3 linked regions of the Arabidopsis thaliana genome follow. The protein of the gene in region 1 interacts with the protein of each later gene in a pairwise test. Each region holds a gene or a part of one and is shown in the gene's direction. Other genes may lie near its edges.

What was found.
Region 2: the proteins of AT5G43460 (region 1) and NAC001 interact in a two-hybrid assay, tested with the Arabidopsis thaliana proteins (one large-scale study listed by BioGRID).
Region 3: the proteins of AT5G43460 (region 1) and ESK1 interact in a protein complementation assay, tested with the Arabidopsis thaliana proteins (one large-scale study listed by BioGRID).

Annotation. Positions count from the first base shown.
Region 1 is NC_003076.8:17,458,184-17,463,877, forward strand, and holds AT5G43460 (HR-like lesion-inducing protein-like protein), read left to right. Parts: upstream 1-1,689; 5' UTR 1,690-1,823; coding exon 1,824-1,891; intron 1,892-2,585; coding exon 2,586-2,688; intron 2,689-2,773; coding exon 2,774-2,863; intron 2,864-2,955; coding exon 2,956-3,054; intron 3,055-3,204; coding exon 3,205-3,309; 3' UTR 3,310-3,790; exon of another isoform or gene 3,791-3,894; intron 3,895-4,058; 3' UTR 4,059-4,333; downstream 4,334-5,694. Other genes in the region: AT5G43450 (2-oxoglutarate (2OG) and Fe(II)-dependent oxygenase superfamily protein), read right to left, coding at 17-531; RPP8 (Disease resistance protein (CC-NBS-LRR class) family), read right to left, coding at 4,947-5,694.
Region 2 is NC_003070.9:1,558-6,709, forward strand, and holds NAC001 (NAC domain containing protein 1), read left to right. Parts: upstream 1-2,073; 5' UTR 2,074-2,202; coding exon 2,203-2,356; intron 2,357-2,438; coding exon 2,439-2,719; intron 2,720-2,928; coding exon 2,929-3,048; intron 3,049-3,148; coding exon 3,149-3,538; intron 3,539-3,616; coding exon 3,617-3,769; intron 3,770-3,881; coding exon 3,882-4,073; 3' UTR 4,074-4,342; downstream 4,343-5,152.
Region 3 is NC_003074.8:20,778,143-20,784,342, forward strand, and holds ESK1 (trichome birefringence-like protein (DUF828)), read left to right. Parts: upstream 1-2,032; 5' UTR 2,033-2,267; coding exon 2,268-2,851; intron 2,852-2,954; coding exon 2,955-3,126; intron 3,127-3,264; coding exon 3,265-3,464; intron 3,465-3,562; coding exon 3,563-3,721; intron 3,722-4,440; coding exon 4,441-4,789; 3' UTR 4,790-5,091; downstream 5,092-6,200. Other genes in the region: SZF1 (salt-inducible zinc finger 1), read left to right, coding at 1-457; CSLA14 (cellulose synthase like A14), read right to left, coding at 5,320-5,500, 5,578-5,966, 6,064-6,177. UniProt on the Arabidopsis thaliana protein: Xylan acetyltransferase required for 2-O- and 3-O-monoacetylation of xylosyl residues in xylan.

The DNA of each region.
Region 1 (5,694 bases):
TATATATAACATGTACCTGCAAGCTAGTGGGATTTCCTCTGGATTCGGAGGATCTGGAGCAATATAACAAGTGAAAGAGTCTCTCCAATTCAAAGGAGAAGAATGATAGAGATCGAAATCATTGTTATAAACAAATCTCTTGTTGTTATCGGTAGGAAGATATTGGTTCTTGACAACTGGATCTTGTTCATGAAACCTTCGAACACTCTCTTTGATCTCTTCAAGAACAGTTAAAGGAACATCATGATTGATCACTTGGAAAAATCCCCAATTCTCAGCTGCGTCTTTGATCTTCGAAATGACAACGTTTCTTGAAGATGTGTTACGATCTCCGAGGTCGATGATTGGGACGGTGAGGTTTAAGCCGGAGATATCAGAAGGTCTGTTGTTTGATAAAATAGAAGAAGGGACATGAAACATGCTAGGAACTTCGGTTATTTCGGCATCGACGAGTCCTTTCACTCCTGTCTTCGTCGAGATAAAAGTCGTGAGATCGTTTAAACGATCGATTTTTTCAGAATTCTCTGTCATGTTTTTTTCTTTTTTTCTTTCTTTCAAGATTCTGTTTTTTGTTGTTGTTCTGAAGACTCAAGAAGAAGAGGAAGATTCAATTTAAGACGGAACTAAAGATAAGTGTCGAAGTTTGTGGTGTCTGTGATTGAGAGCGACGTGTTGTGTTGTGCAAGGAATTCAAAGTATTAAAATTGACTTTTAAGATATTCCGACAGAAACAAAAACAGAATTGATAAGAGGGAGATTCAGTTTAAGACAGAACTAAAGATAAGTGTCCAAGTTTGTGGTGTCTGTGATTGATAGCGACGTGTTGTGTTGTGCAAGGAATTCAAAGTATCAAAATTGAGTGTTGTGCAAGGAATTTAAAGTATTTAAATTGACTTTTAAGAGATTCCGACAGAAACAAAAACAGAATTGAAGACTAGAAGATTGAAAATAAATTAAAAGAAAAAGAACCTTAAAAAGAAAACAATAAAAGTGGAGATGCGGGGTATCGATCCCCGTGCCTCTCGCATGCTAAGCGAGCGCTCTACCATCTGAGCTACATCCCCATGAATTGAACGAGTAGCAATTATATAATATCTAACGCGTTTTGTAAAGTATAGTAGATCAATTTTTCATGTATCTTATATTCTTATTCAGTACCGCCTTTGCCTTGTTGGTTGTACCAAGTAACCAACATTTGTATGGATCTTTAAATACTTAATGATTAAAAGATGTTTAATTATTATTATTTTGTTATATAGCTTAGTGCTCTAAAATGTTCATGAAAACCAACTTGAAAAATATTATGATAGCTAGTTTGTATTCAATTTAATTTGTGTTTGTAAATTATTTTTCATTTTCTTTACTATTAATTTTGTTTTATTTACCATTTTATTTTACGGGACCAAATCCGACTACCTACGAATGTTAGTAAATCCGGTTCCGACAAAATTACACATATATAAACTTTTTTTTTCTGAAATATGGTTCTCATATTTAAACCAAGATTCTCAAGTTAAAAATATTGTCCTAATATTTAATCCAAGATTCCCAAGCTAAAAATATGGTTCTTTTGTCGAAAGTAAAAAAGTACATATTCTTCTCGGAGAAATGAATCGATCGTGTAAAATATAGTTTCTCGTTGGGAGTTAAAATTTAATAAATTTGATAATGTTTTTTTTTCTTTTTTTTGAAATGTTAATAAATAAACCTAAACCAATAGAACCGCAGTTTTTCCTCCTCGCCGAAACGAAGAAGATTCTCCTTCTCTCCGTCAGACAAATCTACGAACAAGCGAGCCTGAGCTTAAGACCAAACTCATAGAGATGGGTTTCTTCTCTTTTCTTGGAAGAGTTCTCTTCGCTTCTCTCTTTATCCTCTCCGCTTGGCAAATGTGAGGCCTTTTTCTTTTTTCTCCATTCTCGATCTGTTCTCGCGTCTCTTCGTGTTCCTTGATTGAGATTTCGGATTGTTTTCCGATGCTTAATAGTGAATTGCTTCGTGCTAGATCTAATCTGGGAATTGAGAAGCTTTATAGGCTCTTTTTGATATCTAGGGTTTCGTGAAATTGGATATTTATCTGAATCTATCACGATTTGATTTTGAGTACTTGTTATGTTTCGATCTAGATTTCTTACTGTTATTGATTTGTATTTTGAGCTTGATTTTAGGTTTTGGTGATCTGGTCACTTTAGATTAATCAAAGTTTGAATATTTATGTATCTTGTGTTATCAATCAATGTATGATGTTGTTTGATCATGGTTGAATCTGGCTTGGGCTTATTACCGCATTTAGGGCACATATAATTGTTCTCTCTTATATTCGTTTATAGATGTCTTTAGCTCTGTTGTTCATATGGTTAGACGTTGAATTGGTTTGGTTATTCCAATGTTTAGTGGTCTAGAGACAAAGCATCATTTACTCTAAATGGAAGATGATCGATAAATGTAAAATAAGATTGTTCTCGTACTATTCGTTAGTCGTTACTAGGATTTTAGTTTGTTTACTTGATAGCTCAAAATATTATCTTCCTCTTTTGACTATATTACTAAATTTTAACAACGCTTATTTGGGGGAATTTGAATAGGTTCAATGATGGTGGTCCTGCAGCTAAAGAATTGGCTCCAAAGCTTGATTTGGTTAAGGCACATTTATCTTCTAGATTAGGAGTAACATTGCCCAAAATAGAGGTAATGACCTGGTTATGATGTTCTTGTCTCTTGTTCGCACTCTTTAAAAGTGTCTTTTTATGACTTGGAGAATGAATTTTTATAGGTGAGACAAGTCGTTGCTACTATTATTGCCCTGAAAGGAGTCGGAGGCTTACTCTTTGTTATCGGAAACACCTTCGGTGCTTATCTTCTGGTTAGGCTTCTTCTTGTTCAACTTACAAATAAGGGATTCAAAAAGCTTGCTATTTGTATGATCTCTTAAAATCTTAATCTTTTTTGTTTCAGGCTTCCTACTTGGTGGTTTTCGGTCCTATTCTCTATGATTTCTACAACTACGGACCTCAGGAACGTCATTTCTCTCTTCTGTTGACAGAGTTCTTGCAGGTTTGTCCAGAAACTTATTATCAATTATCGTAATCTTAAGAAACGCAGCTTTGCACCTTTAAAGTTTCAGCCTTGTAAAGCCAAGAGATCATACTGTTTATCACAATGGACAATATCTCGATAAAAATCTCATGCCTTTTGTTATTGCAGAGCGTTGCACTCTTTGGAGCGTTACTCTTCTTTATCGGAATGAAGAACTCGACACCCGCCAAGAAGAATTTGAAGAAGAGGACACCTAAGCCGAAAGCTGCCTAGTATCAATATTAGTTTTCTTCTGGTTTTGCCATGAGCAAGCAATACCTTGCCTTTTCCTTTTTTCCCGACAAAATCTTTCCTTAGAACTTTTGTTTTCTTTCTGTTTTAGGATTCTTAGATTAGCTCATGATCTTATACTAATACTGTGATTTGATATTGGGGATCTTGAAGTTTTGGTTTGTTGAAACTGGAACCATGCAGCTACAGAACAATGATTTCATGACCTTGGAATCCAAACAGCTAAAACAGAAGTTTATTCAAAAAATGGCTTCACTAACGCCTCATAAGAACCATGTTAAAGATCAAGTCTCTCTCTCGTTAAATTTTAAAAGCTCGGCTATTCCAATTGAGTAGTGTTGATGTCGAAGCTCCACACATAGATTCCATATTCCTTCCACTTAAAGACCTCCAGATGGGATTACAAACATACGGGAACAGAACTCGGTTGGTTCCATGAAAGCAGTGAATCATCAGGTTTTATGTTCGTATTTAACCAACTCGACTTCTATTCCTTTTTGGGCTACTAGAATTGTAAGTTTGAATAGGGTTGGACCAATAATATGAACGAAAATCCACCAATCTGAACTGAAACCTACTTCTTTAATTAAACAAAGTAAATTTGGGATCTTTTACAAAAAATATCGAAAATAACCTATAACATTGTAAGTCCATGCACTGTTATCTCTGTTGTTACTAGAAGGCATGGTCTTGTTTAGTTGTTCATCGGAATGTTGTGAACATATTGGCAGGTGAAGAATATTGCAATGGAGATATTAGATTTCTATGAAAACCATAGACTGTTCACAGAAGAGAGAGTTCACGCCGCCTTCAACAAACTTGCTACAAACCCGTAAAGTTTCGACCAAGGAATCTTTCTCTTCTTGTCTGTGTGATTTGTTCCCCTGAGAAAATATAATGTTTTGCCAGAAGTTTTGGAAATGAGATTACTCTGTTTATTGTACATCAGTTTTGCTCGTCTTGCTTCAACCATGTCTTGCCTATGCTTATACACAGTCAAAGAGGTGCAAAACTAACAAAACGTCAAAAAAAAACTGACAAGATTTGATGGTGTAAACTGTAAATAAAGCTTACAAAACGAACTGTGTTAAATCACAAACGAGAAAGCAAAACATATAATATCCAAATTTTACACAAACACAAAATATCCAAATTTTACAACAAACATAAAATATCCAAATTTTACAAGTTTCGTTTCTCCATTTTGTAAAAGAGTTCTCAAGCATGTTCCATGCATCCACATCAAAAACAAACAACAATATAAGCATTGTTTCTATAATATAGTTCTGAGCCGCACAACATAACGATGCACTGAAAAAGCGAGAGCTCCAAGACTGGAAACATAATCGTTAATACTTGAGAATCTGTATTCTTCATAAGCAATACCAGATATTCTTCGGAAAAACCTGTTGATCAGCAGATGACTCTGTTGAAGCAGCGTCTATATCTCCCAATATAAGAGAATTTGGCTCGCTTCTTGGTCTTTCCTGCATCTTATTTCAAAGATGATCGATGTTAGAACAATGTATAATAGTTGAGACTGTCCACATGACTTTCACACGAATCCAACAACAACAGAAAAAAACAAAGTGAACACTATACAATTTATTTTTTACCTGCTACTGGTCACAGTTGATAAATTGAACATCGGGAATGTGTTGGACTTTGTAGTAATCTTCTCCACCTGGTACCAGTTTCTCCTTCCACTCCCTCTTCATTCCTTCAATCTTCAGTTCCTTTAAGGATGTTATGTACTTGAGTCCATCTGGAAGTTCCTTCAACTTTTTGCAATCATCTATAGTCAAAGTACGAAGACATGGCATCGACCCTTCTTCTACTATCCACTCTTCCAACTCTGATTCTTTAGATATTTCTATAACACATAATTGAGGAAATCCGCCTTTTGAGCACACCATTCTGCTCCCTAGGAATGCCTTACGTGCTAAACGAACCGACTTCAAATGAAGCAACTTTTCTAGAATTGGCATTGGATCCTCTTCCATGCCGCAATAAATTAGAAATAAGTGTACAAGGTGGGGAGGGAATTGATGTTGATCAGGAATCTTTGACATACGTACTGCCAATCCCAACTGTTTTAGATGAATAAAATGATCCAGAACAAACTCTCCCATATAATCAACCATATATGTTTCGAGCGAAAAAAGGAAATTAAGCGTCTCGAGGTTTCGCAATTCGCGGAGAGATGACGATAGAGTTTCAAAATTGCACCTTTCGCTCAAAGATACAGCGAGATACCGGAGCTTAGTCATACGGAGGAGGTCTGTCACACTACTGTGTTGCGTTGAGAAACCATACAAGTACTCCAGGTTCACTAGATCACCCAATTCCAACTTGGTTTTATCATCC
Region 2 (5,152 bases), on another chromosome or scaffold:
TTTGTTTGGGTAATCTTCTAATTACTGTATATGGAAGATGTGAATGAAGTTTTGGTCCTGAATGTGGCCAAGGTTCCGTCATTTGGAGATACGAAATCAAATCTCCTTTAAGATTTTGTTTTTATAATGTGTTCTTCCATCCACATCTATCTCCATATGATATGGACCATATCATACATCATCATTTGTCCAAATGCATGAATGAATTTGGAAATAGGTACGAGAATGCCAACAATGACAAGAAGGGATCAAAGACAGTTTTTAAAACAATATTTTACAGGGTTTTAATCTAATTCTAAGTTTTGGTCACTCACTTTGTTAAAAGAATAATTCAGTGTCTGGACACTAAAATCTTCCAAAAACCCCATATACATATATGCTATTTCGATACTTATATTTATTTACTCAGCATAAAAAATATTAACCATGTATTCATAGTAAAATGTTTCATGTGATATCAAACCAGCGACAACAAAAGTATTATTCCCCTCATTATGTTTGACTCCTATTATATTTTTATTTTAATTTTTTTCACTATCATCTTTCTTGCAATGAAAGTCCCATATATTGGTCAACATTTCAAACCACTTGTTCTCTTTTATGTTTTGGTAAGAGCTATCTTCTAAATTTATAATACGCATAAATTCAAAAGTAAAAGAAAATTTTGGTCATGAATGTTGTTTAAGTCATTTGGAGATACGAAATCAAATCTCCTTGTAGATTTTGTTTTTAGAATGTCGTTCCTTTTTCATCATCTTAGCTATATCTACAGCTATATATCCTATCTTTAAACCTATATTATTTTTTCCTCTCTTCACCAAAGCCATGTTTTTTAGTTGTGGCGAAAAATAAGAAATCCATACATCAACATATCGCTTTCGTTACCTTAAATTTTGGCTTGTTATGAAGGCATGTCATAACGTTTCTAGTCACAACTCACAAGCATACCAACGACCATGATAAATCCAAAAAGTAGAAACAATCTATTATCTAAACCCCCAAAAGACAAAAGAAAAAAGTAGAAAGAAAAGGTAGGCAGAGATATAATGCTGGTTTTATTTGTTTGTTAAAAGATATTGCTATTTCTGCCAATATTAAAACTTCACTTAGGAAGACTTGAACCTACCACACGTTAGTGACTAATGAGAGCCACTAGATAATTGCATGCATCCCACACTAGTACTAATTTTCTAGGGATATTAGAGTTTTCTAATCACCTACTTCCTACTATGTGTATGTTATCTACTGGCGTGGATGCTTTTAAAGATGTTACGTTATTATTTTGTTCGGTTTGGAAAACGGCTCAATCGTTATGAGTTCGTAAGACACATACATTGTTCCATGATAAAATGCAACCCCACGAACCATTTGCGACAAGCAAAACAACATGGTCAAAATTAAAAGCTAACAATTAGCCAGCGATTCAAAAAGTCAACCTTCTAGATGGATTTAACAACATATCGATAGGATTCAAGATTAAAAATAAGCACACTCTTATTAATGTTAAAAAACGAATGAGATGAAAATATTTGGCGTGTTCACACACATAATCTAGAAGACAGATTCGAGTTGCTCTCCTTTGTTTTGCTTTGGGAGGGACCCATTATTACCGCCCAGCAGCTTCCCAGCCTTCCTTTATAAGGCTTAATTTATATTTATTTAAATTTTATATGTTCTTCTATTATAATACTAAAAGGGGAATACAAATTTCTACAGAGGATGATATTCAATCCACGGTTCACCCAAACCGATTTTATAAAATTTATTATTAAATCTTTTTTAATTGTTAAATTGGTTTAAATCTGAACTCTGTTTACTTACATTGATTAAAATTCTAAACCATCATAAGTAAAAAATAATATGATTAAGACTAATAAATCTTAATAGTTAATACTACTCGGTTTACTACATGAAATTTCATACCATCAATTGTTTTAATAATCTTTAAAATTGTTAGGACCGGTAAAACCATACCAATTAAACCGGAGATCCATATTAATTTAATTAAGAAAATAAAAATAAAAGGAATAAATTGTCTTATTTAAACGCTGACTTCACTGTCTTCCTCCCTCCAAATTATTAGATATACCAAACCAGAGAAAACAAATACATAATCGGAGAAATACAGATTACAGAGAGCGAGAGAGATCGACGGCGAAGCTCTTTACCCGGAAACCATTGAAATCGGACGGTTTAGTGAAAATGGAGGATCAAGTTGGGTTTGGGTTCCGTCCGAACGACGAGGAGCTCGTTGGTCACTATCTCCGTAACAAAATCGAAGGAAACACTAGCCGCGACGTTGAAGTAGCCATCAGCGAGGTCAACATCTGTAGCTACGATCCTTGGAACTTGCGCTGTAAGTTCCGAATTTTCTGAATTTCATTTGCAAGTAATCGATTTAGGTTTTTGATTTTAGGGTTTTTTTTTGTTTTGAACAGTCCAGTCAAAGTACAAATCGAGAGATGCTATGTGGTACTTCTTCTCTCGTAGAGAAAACAACAAAGGGAATCGACAGAGCAGGACAACGGTTTCTGGTAAATGGAAGCTTACCGGAGAATCTGTTGAGGTCAAGGACCAGTGGGGATTTTGTAGTGAGGGCTTTCGTGGTAAGATTGGTCATAAAAGGGTTTTGGTGTTCCTCGATGGAAGATACCCTGACAAAACCAAATCTGATTGGGTTATCCACGAGTTCCACTACGACCTCTTACCAGAACATCAGGTTTTCTTCTATTCATATATATATATATATATATATGTGGATATATATATATGTGGTTTCTGCTGATTCATAGTTAGAATTTGAGTTATGCAAATTAGAAACTATGTAATGTAACTCTATTTAGGTTCAGCAGCTATTTTAGGCTTAGCTTACTCTCACCAATGTTTTATACTGATGAACTTATGTGCTTACCTCCGGAAATTTTACAGAGGACATATGTCATCTGCAGACTTGAGTACAAGGGTGATGATGCGGACATTCTATCTGCTTATGCAATAGATCCCACTCCCGCTTTTGTCCCCAATATGACTAGTAGTGCAGGTTCTGTGGTGAGTCTTTCTCCATATACACTTAGCTTTGAGTAGGCAGATCAAAAAAGAGCTTGTGTCTACTGATTTGATGTTTTCCTAAACTGTTGATTCGTTTCAGGTCAACCAATCACGTCAACGAAATTCAGGATCTTACAACACTTACTCTGAGTATGATTCAGCAAATCATGGCCAGCAGTTTAATGAAAACTCTAACATTATGCAGCAGCAACCACTTCAAGGATCATTCAACCCTCTCCTTGAGTATGATTTTGCAAATCACGGCGGTCAGTGGCTGAGTGACTATATCGACCTGCAACAGCAAGTTCCTTACTTGGCACCTTATGAAAATGAGTCGGAGATGATTTGGAAGCATGTGATTGAAGAAAATTTTGAGTTTTTGGTAGATGAAAGGACATCTATGCAACAGCATTACAGTGATCACCGGCCCAAAAAACCTGTGTCTGGGGTTTTGCCTGATGATAGCAGTGATACTGAAACTGGATCAATGGTAAGCTTTTTTTACTCATATATAATCACAACCTATATCGCTTCTATATCTCACACGCTGAATTTTGGCTTTTAACAGATTTTCGAAGACACTTCGAGCTCCACTGATAGTGTTGGTAGTTCAGATGAACCGGGCCATACTCGTATAGATGATATTCCATCATTGAACATTATTGAGCCTTTGCACAATTATAAGGCACAAGAGCAACCAAAGCAGCAGAGCAAAGAAAAGGTTTAACACTCTCACTGAGAAACATGACTTTGATACGAAATCTGAATCAACATTTCATCAAAAAGATTTAGTCAAATGACCTCTAAATTATGAGCTATGGGTCTGCTTTCAGGTGATAAGTTCGCAGAAAAGCGAATGCGAGTGGAAAATGGCTGAAGACTCGATCAAGATACCTCCATCCACCAACACGGTGAAGCAGAGCTGGATTGTTTTGGAGAATGCACAGTGGAACTATCTCAAGAACATGATCATTGGTGTCTTGTTGTTCATCTCCGTCATTAGTTGGATCATTCTTGTTGGTTAAGAGGTCAAATCGGATTCTTGCTCAAAATTTGTATTTCTTAGAATGTGTGTTTTTTTTTGTTTTTTTTTCTTTGCTCTGTTTTCTCGCTCCGGAAAAGTTTGAAGTTATATTTTATTAGTATGTAAAGAAGAGAAAAAGGGGGAAAGAAGAGAGAAGAAAAATGCAGAAAATCATATATATGAATTGGAAAAAAGTATATGTAATAATAATTAGTGCATCGTTTTGTGGTGTAGTTTATATAAATAAAGTGATATATAGTCTTGTATAAGAAAGGGATTTTACATGAGACCCAAATATGAGTAAAGGGTGTTGGCTCAAAGATTCATTTAGCAACCAAAGTTGCATTTGCAAGGAAATGAAAAGGTGTTAACAATGTCACTGCGTAACATGACTTCGATACAAAATCTCAAACAATACATCTTCAACTGTGGATTATGATGGACTTGGGGTTGCAGGTGATATGTCTATAGAAAAACGGGTGGGAATGGAAAATGGCTGAAGAAGAAAGCTCCAACTAAGCATCATAACTGGATTGTTTTAGAGGAGATGAGTCAAAGGAATTCACAGTGGAACTATCTCAAGAACATGATCATTGGCTTCTTATTGTTCATCTCCATCATTGGCTGGATCATTCTGGTTCAAGAGGTCAAATTATATATACATAACGGATCTAAGAAGTATAGTGTAGTCAATTAAAACAAAACGAGACTTGAAAATAAGCATAAGTATTATTAAGTTAACCCAATATTCGTTTCAATGCTTTAGTTATCATCAGAATTCTCAACATTTTCAGATATTTAACTTGCCTTTGGTTGCTTTCTCGCCATGGTAGTAGCATTCTCCGGATAAGAATCAAGGGGAGCCTCAACTTCGGCTTCAACCGTCTCCTCGTCTTTCCTATGACATTCACTTGGTGTTGCAACAATGTGTTGATGCCCCACATTCATAGGAGAGTCCCACATATCTCCAACATTCATAGGAGGGTTCCACATATGCCCACCATTCCAAGGAGGGTACCACCACATATGCCCAGCATTCCAAGAAAGATGGAGCGACGATATCGTGAGGAACAAGGTTTT
Region 3 (6,200 bases), on another chromosome or scaffold:
TCAAATGGGTCAAAACATGAACCAACATTATCCATCTTCCCCGGTGAGACAACCGCCATCTCAACACGGGTTCGAATCTTCAGCAGCTGCAGCGGTTGCAGTGATGAAAGCGAGATCAACCGCCTTTGCGAAACGTAGCTTGAGCTTCAAACCAGCTACTCAAGCAGCACCACAGTCGAATCTCTCGGATTGGGGATCTCCAAACGGGAAGCTGGAATGGGGAATGAAAGGAGAAGAGCTGAATAAGATGAGAAGAAGTGTTTCCTTTGGAATCCATGGAAACAACAACAATAACGCAGCTAGAGACTACAGGGACGAGCCAGATGTGTCATGGGTTAACTCTTTAGTTAAAGACAGTACTGTGGTGTCTGAGAGAAGCTTTGGAATGAATGAGAGGGTTCGGATAATGTCGTGGGCTGAGCAAATGTACAGAGAGAAGGAGCAGACTGTGGTGTAAACACACACAAAGATGGTTTCTTATATATATTGCTTTTGGGCCATCTCTGCAAATTTGATTCTTTAATTTTTGTGACTTTCTTTAGTTGTTACTGTTATTAGTAGTATATGGTTTGTTGTCACTACGAGTCTACGTGATGAAAAGATAGAAGTTAATTGCATTAGTTTCTATATTCGTTTCTCATCCTCTTGTAATTTATCAAACCATGAAATGGCTAAGCAATCCAAACCGTAATATGGCTGAAACAAATATACCATGTCATCAACACGAAACATGCACAACGCCACCTCAATGAGCTTCAAAACAGGCTTTAGGCTATACTCAACAACGGTACATAACATAAGTCATCAGAGGCTTCGCATACTTCCCAAATTGGTGATGTTTTAACAAAGTCTTACTTTAAAATTTCATTAAAATAGTAGAATTTTCTTAGATTGACATACTATACAGTATAAGCTTTTTCATAGAAAATATGTCAAAGATGTTATGGGACGCACGTGTGCCTCAGACACATCACTGCGCACGTGGTGAACTTCAAGTAAAATTCTTATTATATAAATAAAGGTATGAGTACGTATGATATATCCGATGTGTATCTGACTCACTCATACTAACAAAATACAGAGGTTTGGGTTGGGTTACTTTGGCTTTGGTTCAAAGCAAAACTGTTGAACGAACAACTAAAAGTCTAAAACCAAATGGAGTCATAATAAAGTATACAAATTCTGCCAAGAAAATAAATAAATTTACATATATATATATATGTAGTAAGATGATGTAAATAAAATGGATTGGTAATGGCAATGGTTGGTGCCGTATACATATATGTGTGTATGAGATTCCTTAGCCTTTACTTCTCTCAAACAGAAAGCTTCATACTATTATCATTTTGAGTATTTGACCTGTCTTTTTAATTTTCATTTGATTTTGCAAAACATATATACATCTATTTCTCTCTTAACGAACACTGATGCTTCACCCTCAACATGCGATGGAAACATGATTGTTACAGAAAACGAAAGATTAGTTTCTTATCCCAAAACGTAAGATTAATTTGGTACTAATCTACTTTTAGATTTGGTGATTAGGAGGAGTAAACTTGTGTTTAATATAAAACTGATCTTTGTTGCTTTAATATGCATGTTTGGTGAATTACACCCGGAAACATAATCAGATCAACTGGCACATGAGACATTAAATTCATGTTGGATCCTTATGTTTCATAGAACATTATGTTTATGAAACAAAAATGTAAATCAATCGGAAACTTTGGTGGTATACAAGTAAATAATTTGGAAAAATACATGTTTAAGCAAAAGTAATTGTTACTAATATCCTAATTTCTACAATTGTTGTTTCGATGGTCCCTTTCTTTAGGTGAGGATTGAGACAATCTTTTAGAATCTTTGATTCCACTCTTCGCTCCAAACTCTACTTTGCTATAACAACAACTTCAAAATAGATTAGTTAAGCGAATCAGGTTACATTTTAAAGAAAACGATATAGAGAGAGCAACTTTGTATATAATTTTAAAATTCTTCACCTGAAAGCCTTTAAAAACCAGTTCAAGATAAACCCATCTCACCAAACTTTAGTAATCACAAAACTAATTAACGTCAAACAATAACAATTTTTTCACAAATTTAATTCTTTTATTCCTTTATTCGTTGCTCTTATATTTCCATCGATCTTTCTCCTTGTCTCACAAACATTCTGACATTTTAGAGAGCCTCGACAGAGAATTATTTTTTTCTTTTTTATTTTCGTTTACAAGTTTCAATTCTTCTCTATATATTAAAAAAACAAACAGATGCAACCTTGGAGAAGAAAATTTCCATTGTTCGAAACAGGAGTTACAATGAAACAGAGGAAGAACAGTAATCTCTCAATCTTCGTCGTAGTCTTCTCTGTTTTCCTCTTCGGGATCTTCATGTACAATGAAGACGTCAAGTCCATCGCAGAGTTTCCTTTCTCCACCTCAAAACCTCACGACGTCCACGACGAAGCGACACCGATCACAGAGATCACAACACTACCGGTTCAAGAGTCGATCAAGAACTCAGACCCAATTCAGGAATCGATCAAAAACGCAGACTCAGTTCAAGATTCAGTTAAAGACGTAGCAGAACCAGTTCAAGAGGAGGTATCGAAAACAGAGGAAGTTAAAAAGATTGAGCTTTTCGCTGCGACGGAGGATGAAGAAGACGTGGAATTGCCGCCGGAGGAATGCGATTTGTTCACCGGAGAATGGGTTTTTGATAACGAGACGCATCCATTGTATAAAGAGGATCAATGTGAGTTCTTGACGGCGCAAGTCACTTGCATGAGAAATGGAAGAAGAGATTCTCTGTATCAGAACTGGAGATGGCAACCTAGAGATTGTTCTTTACCAAAGTAAACCGGAAAAAAGCTCTGTTTTTGTTTTCATCGATTCTTTGGGTTGGTTTAGTTTTGGTTTCTTCTAATTTTGTTTCCGGTTTTGTTTGATTTGGTGAAGGTTCAAAGCGAAATTGCTGTTGGAGAAGCTAAGGAACAAGAGAATGATGTTCGTTGGAGATTCCCTAAACCGGAACCAATGGGAATCAATGGTTTGTTTGGTTCAATCAGTGGTTCCTCCCGGTCGAAAAAGCTTGAACAAAACCGGTTCTCTCTCCGTCTTCCGAGTCGAGGTAATTGAAACCGACTAGTTTATTTCTTATAGTAATGATAATGTGTTTAGTGGAGTTGCTGATTTTCGAGAGTAGTTAAGATAAGTGTGGATTAGTTTTCTAGTTATTAATGTTGAATTTTTGGGTGGTTTTAAAAAGGATTATAATGCGACGGTGGAGTTTTATTGGGCACCATTTTTGGTGGAATCGAATTCAGATGATCCAAATATGCATAGTATACTTAACCGTATAATAATGCCTGAGTCCATTGAAAAGCATGGAGTCAACTGGAAAGGCGTTGACTTTCTTGTTTTCAACACTTACATTTGGTGGATGAACACATTCGCTATGAAAGTCCTGTAAGTCTACTACTACTTCAATATTATTACCTCTATGGTGTGTTATGTATTTTACAAATTTTGTGAATTGAGATTGTGGAAATTGACGATGAAATCAGACGAGGATCGTTCGATAAAGGAGACACCGAGTATGAGGAGATCGAACGGCCAGTAGCGTATAGGAGAGTGATGAGGACTTGGGGAGATTGGGTGGAACGAAATATTGATCCTCTACGTACCACTGTCTTCTTTGCTAGCATGTCTCCTCTTCACATCAAGTAATTAATCTTCCTTTCTTTTTTTCTTAATTGTTGCTTCAATACACAGATTTTAGTTAGTGATGCTTTGCTTGCAAATTGAAATTACTGACAAATTGATAGGTCACTCTCCATGTTTGACTAGTGTCACCATTGAAAATTTGAAATGATTACATAATTTAGTTTCAGTGATTGAGTGACATATGCGTTTCTTAGAAATTAATTCCTACTAGCTCCTGACTCCATTTAATTGACCTGCTAAATATTATACGTGAGAGTTAGTAGTTTTTAAACTTTTCCTTAAACCAAAATGATTTCAAATATGATTTGATTTAAAACAGGAAAAGGTTGATCATTTTGTGTTTTTCTCTGGATTAGGTTATTGATAGATTGCCAATTATAATGTCACTTAGTTAATTCTTTATTTTTGTTATAATAATCCAAAACAAAAAAAACACAGGTTGGTATAATCATTAATAACACCAGACCATAATATTTTAAACCTGCGGACGTAACTTAACTTGAAAACCAAGCAACTACCAGAAAAGAAAAAGAGATAACAAGTCGTTGTCCTTTGAAAAATCCACACAGTATACAAAAATCAGCTAAAAACATAAAAACTCTAAATAGTATTTCATTTTAACGAGTTGGTGAACCACCCACATATTAGACTTTTAATTGTATGTGTTTATCTTAACTAACAAAATATAGTTTGTAATTTTTGTTGTTATATTGTATAGGAGCTTGGATTGGGAGAATCCAGATGGGATCAAGTGTGCATTAGAGACGACACCAATCCTAAACATGTCAATGCCATTCAGCGTAGGAACAGACTACAGACTGTTTTCAGTAGCGGAAAACGTCACGCATTCTCTTAATGTTCCGGTTTACTTTCTCAACATTACCAAACTCTCCGAATACCGGAAAGATGCTCACACTTCGGTTCACACAATCCGACAAGGCAAAATGCTGACGCCGGAGCAACAAGCCGATCCCAACACTTACGCCGATTGTATCCATTGGTGTCTTCCCGGTTTACCTGACACGTGGAATGAGTTCCTTTACACACGTATCATTTCCCGTTCGTGACCTACAAAATATTTGAAATATCTCTTTTTCAATATTTTTTCCCACTTTGCTCCATCCAATGGAAGAGCCTTGAAATTTTATTATTTTGATGTCCTAATGTTCATAATTTTTCTTGAATTGTAATTGTGAAATGTTTCTTTCTTTTTCTTTAATGGTTATTAGAGTGCCTAGTAGGCTATTTTAACTGTTTTTGTACTCTTAAAACTTTGAAATGAGGTGGATAACAAAGGATGCCAAATGTTTTTTTTTTGTTCAATGAAGTGGGTAAAACTTGCTCACATTCGACTGTTTCTTTTAACGGTCGATTTTTTTGTTAACCGGGAAAATAAATATAAAGGTCATTATGTTTCAATCTCTTGCTATTTTGTTGGACTATTAAGATTTTTGAATGTTAGATCGTTACAAAGGATTCTTCCATTAAAACAGTAACATGATCACAAAACCACATCTTTTAATCACTATACAATCGAACCTTTTGAAAGAATGAATGTGTAGGAGAAGAAGAAGAAAGAAGTTAGATATGTCAGTGGTTACTCGGAAGTCTGGACCGGCGTACTTGGAACCGGCATTCCAACGTAGCCAACTCCAACAACAAAGAAGGCAATGGACTGCAAGAAAAGATACACGTAAAGGTATGTCCTCCCAAACACAAAATCATAGTATCCACATATGAAGAGATACATTCCAACCATTATCTCTCGCCATCGAAGTCTGCACAAATTCGAAATCATATCATTGATTGATTAGCCATTTCGCACGATAAATCTATTCGGGGAAAAAGTTCAAACCTCTCGGGGAAGCTATAGTGATCAGGAAAAATGAGGTTTTCCCTGAGATTGTTACTCTCTCCTAGTTTTTGTGTAACAATCCATTCTTTAACTCTACTAGTCTCTAGCAATCCAATGAGAGTTCCTATACTCCTATGCATCGCCATTACGTTTTCAAATAAGATCCAATAGAGTATGAGGTAAAATGATTTAGGTGTTGCAATAGCGTTTAGGATAGTGATGGTAGCTGGAATGTAGATAGTTGTCCATTTAGGGACTTCGATCTCCGGGAATATAACGGTAGCTGGCAAAATCACGCAGTAGAAAACGAATGTGAAGATGTGTACAACAATCTTCCTCAAAAAGAAGAAGTTGTATATCAAATACACCTTCTTCCATAAAGACACATTCTGTTTCAAACATGTCACACAAAAAAAGATAAAGGTCATTGAACTATATTTGTGTTCCGAAAGGAATTAGATTTGGGGATTTATGTAATCTATCTACCTGGTTTTTGATGATCTCCATTGCAATTTTCTTGAAAAGGTTCGCTGGACCGCAAGACCAACGATGTTGCTGAAACCGGTATGCTTGAAATGAGCTCGGAAGCTCGTTTTTCACCTTAAATAAAACTCCCAAAGTTT